Linked DNA regions of Xenopus tropicalis. The protein of the gene in region 1 interacts with the protein of each later gene in a biochemical or structural test. Links are inferred from orthologs where the notes say so. Each region holds a gene or a part of one and is shown on either strand. Other genes may lie near its edges.

Region 1 (3,760 bases):
CCAGTCGGATGACTGGTGAAAAGTCTTCAAGAAAAACAAAGTAGTCCAATTGATTGGCCTTATACCTACAGATATACCGTGACCTAGATAATTGAGAATCTTCACAAACATACTTATAAATAAACATTATGGAGCTATGCTCACAATCAATCTAAGAAACAAAGGAAAATGTCTGCATCGACTTGCATCAAATGCATTTGGGAAATGTTAATGTCCAGTGTTACTGGTCATCAAATATTCATAAATGTATGCTATTCCAACAAAATGGAAATCAAAACCTTTCAGGAATTCCACTGCTAATGCTTTTTCCCCTTGTTGTCTAGATGGACAGAAAGAATACTTTGAGAAACTTAAGAGCCTGATAGAAGAGATGAGTAATAAATATAATGAGTCAGTCTTTATCATTGGTCATAGTCTTGGCAATTTGTACCTACTTTATTTTCTCAACCATCAGCCACAGGAATGGAAAGACAAATATGTAAAAGGATTTATATCCCTTGGAGCTCCTTGGGGAGGTGCTGTCAAACCTCTGCTTGTACTTATGTCAGGTAAGTGTAAATACTTTTTAGGAAAGAAGTTTTTATTACACTAAGGGCTCTGGCACACGGGGAGATTAGTCGCCCGCGACAAAACTCCCTGTTCGCGGGCGACTTATCTCCCCGGATTGCCATCCCACCGGCGAAAATGTAAATCGCCGGTGGGATGGCATACGCGGCGGCACGATTTTAGTGAAATCGCGCAATATGCCTCGAGAGGAAACTTGCGAGATTTCACTGAAATTGCGCCGCCGCGCTTGCCATCCCACCGGCGATTTACATTTTCACCGGTGTGATGGCATTTTGGGGAGATTAGTCGCCCGAGACACAGGAGATTTGTCACATCTCCCCGTGTGCCAGAGCCCTAACATGGATTTATTTAACTTTTTGACTTGTTTATAAATCTAAAATACTGTGGTGTACTACCCTATGGGCCCTGTTAGGTTCAGTAGCCAAACAGGACATCTATAATGAATCCATACATGAGTTACTGAAAAATATCATTAATTTACTAGTAACAATTTTATAAGCAAATAGTTGGTAGTTTCCTCACTAGTTTATGAAGTACCTGGGCATTAAATTAACATATTACAGAGTATGCTTTAACTGTTATCCTGGTATAATAAATCTTGCCATCATTGGTGGGTTAGGAGTCGGGTAGTAGTTGCTATGCACCAGTATACTGTTATAAGGGGAAAGAGAGCAACCTCCCCTTAAAACAGTTTACCAAAATAGATTAAAGGAGAAGGAAAGGTAAAAACTAAGTAAGCTTTATCAGAAAGGTCTATGTAAATACAGCCATAAGCACTCACAGAAAAGCTGCACTCAAAAGAAACACAGAATTTCTTGTCTTCTTTTGTTTACACATGTTCTTCAGTGTCAGACTTACAGCTCTCACAAAATCCTTTAGGGCACAGGAACAAGACTGCTCGAATTGCTCCTCTCTTTCTTTCTCCCCCTCCCTTTTCCTCCTCCCCCTCACATCAAAATTCACTCCCCCTCCTATCAGAATTCACTACCAGCTAAAGCTGCAGCACAGAAGCTACTGAGACCAAACTAAATGGCAGTTGCTCTGTTAAACAAACAGAGGGAGCTTCTAGGGCTGTTTACTCAGTTATGGCAAAGCTTTCTGCAAAATAAATATAATCTTCTAGCTTGTACTAATGTGGCTAATCTATTGGCAATAAAATGTCAAAATGCCTTTCCTTCTCCTTTAAATGTTAGTTTATAAACATGCAATTCAAGGAAATATGTTGTGGTTTTTAACTTTTGCCCACTGGCCTTATAACTGATTATTTTGCACAGGGTGCCTTATATACTAATGCAGGTCTTAATCTCAAAGATATCTATAATTTTAATAAATAGCAAAGATTTTCAGTGGAATAAAAACAACAACATTTATTGGCTCAAATTAACAAAAACATAACTCATATGAAAAGCATACTATACCAAACAATGACCAGGTGCATCCTAATCTCCTAACGCGTTTCGCACCGTGTGGCGCTTCATCAGAGGGACCTCCATTGTTTGGTATAGTATGCTTTTCATATGAGTTATGTTTTTGTTAATTTGAGCCAATAAATGTTGTTGTTTTTATTCCACTGAAAATCTTTGCTATTTATTCTTATACTGATTCAGGACTTATTCAGTGGGATATAACTAGTAGATTCCCTTTCTGAAATCTGTTTACTATTTAATATCTATAATTTTCAATTTGTAGGAGACAATCATGGCATTCCAATGGTCTCTAACATAAAAATTCGCGAAGAGCAACGCATGACTACTACAAATCCATGGATGCTCCCAACAAACTTAGGATGGCCAGAATCCCATGTCTTTATTTCTACGCCTTCTCGGAATTATACTTACAAGAACTACCGGAAGTTATTCCATGACATTGGGTTTGAGGATGGCTGGTACATGTGGGAGGATACAAAGGGGCTGCTAGAGGGACTTCCCCCACCAGGTGTTGAAGTATATTGCATCTATGGTACCGGGATCCCTACTCCAGAAACATACATTTATGGGGAAGGTTTCCCAAATGAGCCTGCCATAGACATCAAGTATTCAGATGGGGATGATACAGTGCATACAAGAAGTATGGAGCTGTGCAAGAGGTGGATCAGTCAGCAGAAACAGAAAGTGCACATCCATGAACTTCCTGGGATTCAGCATCTTAACATGGTCTTTAGCAATGAGACATTAACTCTCATTAATGATATACTGCAGGAAAGCATTCTAGACTGACAGAATGAAAAACATTGAGTCCAAATAGGAAGCAAAAGCAAAGGACCCTGCAAAACTGACAACATGTTCAGACAGCCATCATTACAGATGTACTTTACTTTTACAATATATTTGCAGATGGTCTTTTAGATATGACAGAGTATGTGCAATATGTAGCACCAGTTAGCAAGAACCCTCTGCATTTTAGGACATTATAATATTAATGTGTAAGGCTTTAGAAAGTGAAGAAGATATTTACTATGGTTAAATGGGATGAACATGATACTGTTATGTGAAGGTGTTTTTTCTTTAGTTGCTATTCACTGAAATATAGTTAATCGCTTTTATAAATTCATGGGACAATTAGCATCTTTGTTCAATATGAGCCAAATAAATTTGGTGATGCCTTCTGGCCATTTCTGTGCCGTTCAATGTGCGATCTTTCTTTAAGTACTGTTTGAATGTGTAGCCAGCAAAAGATCTGCATTCTATAGATATGTAGTTGATGCAAATGTGAGCAATAAACATAAACAAATGACAAGGAAATTTTACAACACTAGGGAGTTGCCTATATGATAGTCACTACCCAGTAAGCAAAATCACTAACCCTTTGCTTTGGGTAATTATGTGGGGTAATTACTGGGTAAGGCTTAGGTTGGTGCATGTGTACTCCAAGTTCCAAGAATAACTACACTGCACTTGCGCAGCCAATGCAAAAGCAGAGTGTTTTAATTTCCTTGTATTTTAAGATACAATAGCTTGCAAAAGTATCCTCTTGTTTTACCAAATAACAAATTCTACAACAAAGTGTCTGTTTCAGTTCAACTGAGAATTTATTGCATTAACGTATTGTAATTATGTGCAAATAAGGTTCACAAATTAATGGCAGAGCCTGTAAAAACATTTATAGAGATAATAATAAGAAGAATAGTAATAGATTCAAATAACAATAACTATATAGAAGGTTATGTTATAACATAGTGTTTTTTAGGTCTAGT
Region 2 (4,390 bases), on another chromosome or scaffold:
CAAATTGGCTGGGCACCCTAGGCAACCTGACCTGCAAACCTGGCAGACACACACAGGTGCACAATGGACACGCACATGCAAGCTGACTATGAGCCGACAATGGTGTGGGGTAAATTAAGAGCGGGCAGTGGGGAGGCAAGGGCTGTGACAGGGGGTAGATAAAGGAGGATGTACGTGCCAAGCACCCCACAAATATTGTGCCCAAGGCATGTATCTTTTCTGCATCTACATCTAGTTCAGGCCCTGCTAGGACATTATACTTTATAGTATTAGATTGTACAACAAAGAGTCTGGAACTAAATAAACACTACACCATTTTTAACCTACACTGAAATTCTCTTTGATGAAGAACCACCACCTAAAAAATGTATAGAAACCTGCCATAAAGTGTGTAAATGAACAAAATAGGTGCAATTTTACTGAGAAATAGTTACCTGTCAGCAACTGGCTATGTATTAATCATTACTTTTGCACACATTAAGTTAAAAACTGCCTTTCTTACATATATATTAAAATCTACACTGACCCCACACAATTAGCTTAACGCTTTTCATGCTTACCAAGCACTTAATCATAGGCTCCCTGTGATTAAGTGCTCAAATCTATGATTAAGTGCTTGGTAAGCATGAAATGCTTTAGGCTAATTGTGTGGGCTCATTGTAGATTTTAAAACATATGGAAGAAAGCAGTTTTTAACTTTAATTTGTGCAAGAGTAAAGATAAATATTTCATTACCCATGTTGCTGCTATGGGTTTTCACAAACCCATAGTCCTCTAGTTGGGCTTCAAGTAGAATATTAGCAATTAGCTCTGGTCATCAAAATCAGCATTGATGGCCCACTGTGGTTCTAGCTAAATAGGATTTTTAAACCTTCTTAAGAGATATCTGGCCAGTGTTCAACCAGGTATCAGTCAGACAGCTGACAACTTGAATTTGGGGGAAAAAGTCAGCGGCTAATGTTACAACATTTCTTCCAAAGAACTTTTTCTTAAGCATAAGGCATTAATGTGAAATCTTTGATACAAAGGTTTACACAACAAGCCCCATCAGTATATGAATGACAGAAGGAATATTTTGTTATATGATATATCTTAGAAATGCATGAATGCCTAGATTTTCCACCATGGCTCTGAATTTAAGCTTGTCAAATAGAATGAAAGGTCTTTTGTGGTGATACAGAGATAAAACCAAAGAACCTTGTTATTTCCCTAGTACATCATCCTGAACTTTAAACCCACAGCTCCACGTCACATTCTGCAAATCCTGCTTATCTCAGCTGATAAGGTGAGTATCCATGTATACAAGGGTATAAAATGCATGCAGTGACTAGCATCGATCACAGGAGCAACTAACCAGCAAAGCAGGTAAGTTCTCAGTCCACTCTGGATGTCTTTAAACCAGAAGGTATTGGGGGGAAAGGCATTGTATGACAGATTGAATAGAAGAGAGTTTAGGTTGTTTGGTTCTGTAACAGAAATTTGTTTTCAGGGTTTATATATTCTTGATAGGGTAGACAGTAATATCTATTGTTTTTCCCTGTCACTGTTTATTTGCAGGTTAAAGACAATTTCAGGTTGAAATTAGAAATAGTGACTTTCCAATTTTAGTGGAAAATGCATATTAAGCCCAATCTGCAAAGGTAGCTGTTCTTAAAATACAGTTGTCAGCAACTTCCGTCAGTCTTTGATGGTGGATGTGGGAGTTATAGTTGAAAAACTGCTGTACAGCAAATGGGATGTTCCTGACAATATTAAATATATCACTAGTTACATAAAAGTACATTTTTATCTTTAGGAAATTGTCCCTTGATAAGGTGGATTCAGGGCATATATTGCCTTACTCTAAAACCAGCCCTCCCTCTGCCAGCCATGCAATAGCTGGAGCACCAGAGGTTGCTGGTTCTTAAACCAATGTGGGTCAGTTGTAAAAATGAACATAAAAGAGAGACTAAATATTTTGTAATGATAAAGGTTTTTATAGAACTAAGATGTGCCAGTTAAATTAACATAGTAGATGTTTTGTGATGGTCTGGACCACTAATTGCCCTATTTCATCTCCATGCAGACTGCACTGAGACATGTGTCTGTTGGGTGGGAGTGCAAGGTCCCTGCATGCGTTTTTCATTCTTATATACAGTAAAGATTATGTAATTCAGTTGATTTGCTCATTGGAATGTGCCCATTAACATTCTACATTATATGCCGGGCATTTTAATTCCCCTTTGTCCTCAGACCAGTGTCCTGTTTTACAGGTTGGAGAGTTTGCAACTATGAAGAACCTAGTCCTACTAGCAGTACTGTTCCTCTCAGGTATGTAGTGGTGTTTCCTATATTTGTGTGCTTGCGATGCTCCCTTGTGGCTCTATATGAACATCTGCTATGTTTGAACACTAGAAATTTCAATCTGTTGTCAACTAGAATTTTACTAGTTAAGGCAGATTTCAGCTGCCACTTTGACCCTAGGGCCAAACAATCTCATTAGCACAATATTTCCCACCCAAGGGGAAAAGATTTGCTCCTTTGGCAAACAAGCAAATCTTACTGTTTATGGCCGCCTTTAGTTCTGAAGTTGAGCAACCAGGCATATTTGGGTTAATGTGGGTTAATGTCTAATGTGAAGCCGAATTACTTCTGCTTTCCAGAGTTTAGTTTGTGACTTCACCAATTCTCTATGGAAAAACAATCACTAAAATTAATTTCTACCCCCCAACTGTTCAGTATCTATCACAGTTATACAGCATACTTTTCTATCTATATCTACAAACCATTGACATTTAGGGGAAAAATCACAGTAGTAGTAGTAATCCATAGCAACCAATCTAAACTTACATTTATATTTTGCTTCTGCAGGAACACAGGCAAAGTATTTCCCTTGGCAGCATGAAGAGCCCCACACTCCAGCCCAGCAGGTGCGGGAAGTCTTAGAGAGCTACGTACACAAAGTTCGGGACTTGGGCAGAGAAGCTGTGAGCCAACTGGAGACCTCTGATCTCGGAAAACAACTTGAGTAAGGCCCTGTTCTTTATTATTATTCTTGTTGGTGGTGGTAGAGAATAATGGTAAAGGCAGAATGGCTATATGTTACTATTTGACCAAATTGGGGGAACAGAACTAGAAAACTTAGAAGGTAATGTAAAAACAGGCACAACATTTGTTCCAGGTCTAGGAAACAAACATCAGACCAGTATATGCTACCTGCTAATTGGTTGAAATGGTTAATAGCTATGGAACCTCCTCACATATATCCTATATAAATATCCTTAATATTTGTAAGATAACTAAGCACCACTGACCTATGGGCCATGACATAACTTACCTGCCCATCTGTATTCACTGGATTTGCTGCATGTAAAACTCTTTACATGCCACGATCCCGGATAAATATTACACATGAATCCATTTATATGAATAGGAAAAGACTAAAAAGATAACAATGAGAAGGTGAGTATTTATTTTCAGGAAAAGGTGCAGTCACAGCTAACACAAATGTATGTATAATCAAAACACATGTAGGGCTGTATGGTGTAGATACTTTTTGACAAAGTGTGCAGGGGATGCAGTGAAACTGTAACAAAGCAACTTTAAGGTAGTTTTTTTTTTATTTCTGGGCGTTTTTAAATGATATTCTCACACAATTTGCAACTGGTGTTTGTTTTTATTTTTTGTAGTTTAAATTATGTATTTTTGTTGTTCAGAAACTGCATTCTGAAATTGATACTATTTTTTGGCTGCTAGGGTCCTGCTCACCCTAGCAATTAAGTTCTGGGTTACACTAGGCATAATGGACCAATAATCATTTCCCAGTATACAAGCGGAGATACAAGCAGAGATAGTCAGTGGTCAATTCATTTTCCTAGCAGCTGGTAGACAAGGACAGTGTATGTTATGGGATTTGTTTTGCCTACGCTATCAGAGTGTTATATTTAACTCTTCCATTTTCATTTTCAATATATAGCCTGAAGATCACTGAGAAGCTTGACACCTTTGGTACCAATGCTATGAACCTGAGAAAGCAAATAAATCCCTATGTAGAAAATATCAGGGAACAGGTGTCCAAAGAGCTAGAAAAGGAACTCCCAGTAATCAAGGAGAAAATCCGCCCCATCCTGGAAGCTTTCCAGAAACGTTGGGCTGATGATGCAAAGGCTTACCAGGAGAAAATCTCTCCCCTGGTAGCTGAGCTTCAAAAGCAAACCAAGAACAACCTGGATTCCTTGTATAAAAAGATCACTCCTATTGCTGAAGAGATAAGGGACAAAGTGAGAGTGGATGTTGACTCCCTTCGCTCAAGGCTCACACCCTACAGTGAAGAGGTCAGGGTAAAGCTGGTCGAGAAACTAGAAGAGCTTAAGGCCAATGCAGGTCCCAGAGCTGAGGAGTACAGAGCCCA

What was found.
Region 2: the proteins of lcat (region 1) and apoa1 form a complex in vitro, tested with the Homo sapiens proteins (6 studies listed by BioGRID and IntAct, with this or other methods). The link is inferred for Xenopus tropicalis from reciprocal best matches to the Homo sapiens genes LCAT and APOA1.

The regions. Positions count from the first base shown.
Region 1 is NC_030680.2:76,578,366-76,582,125, reverse strand, and holds the end of lcat (phosphatidylcholine-sterol acyltransferase), read left to right. Parts: intron 1-323; coding exon 324-548; intron 549-2,256; coding exon 2,257-2,783; 3' UTR 2,784-3,194; downstream 3,195-3,760. UniProt on the Homo sapiens protein: Central enzyme in the extracellular metabolism of plasma lipoproteins.
Region 2 is NC_030683.2:82,228,322-82,232,711, forward strand, and holds the start of apoa1 (apolipoprotein A-I precursor), read left to right. Parts: upstream 1-1,339; 5' UTR 1,340-1,365; exon of another isoform or gene 1,366-1,387; coding exon of another isoform or gene 1,388-1,405; intron 1,406-2,252; coding exon of another isoform or gene 2,253-2,270; coding exon 2,271-2,310; intron 2,311-2,850; coding exon 2,851-3,007; intron 3,008-3,955; coding exon 3,956-4,390. UniProt on the Homo sapiens protein: Participates in the reverse transport of cholesterol from tissues to the liver for excretion by promoting cholesterol efflux from tissues and by acting as a cofactor for the lecithin cholesterol acyltransferase (LCAT).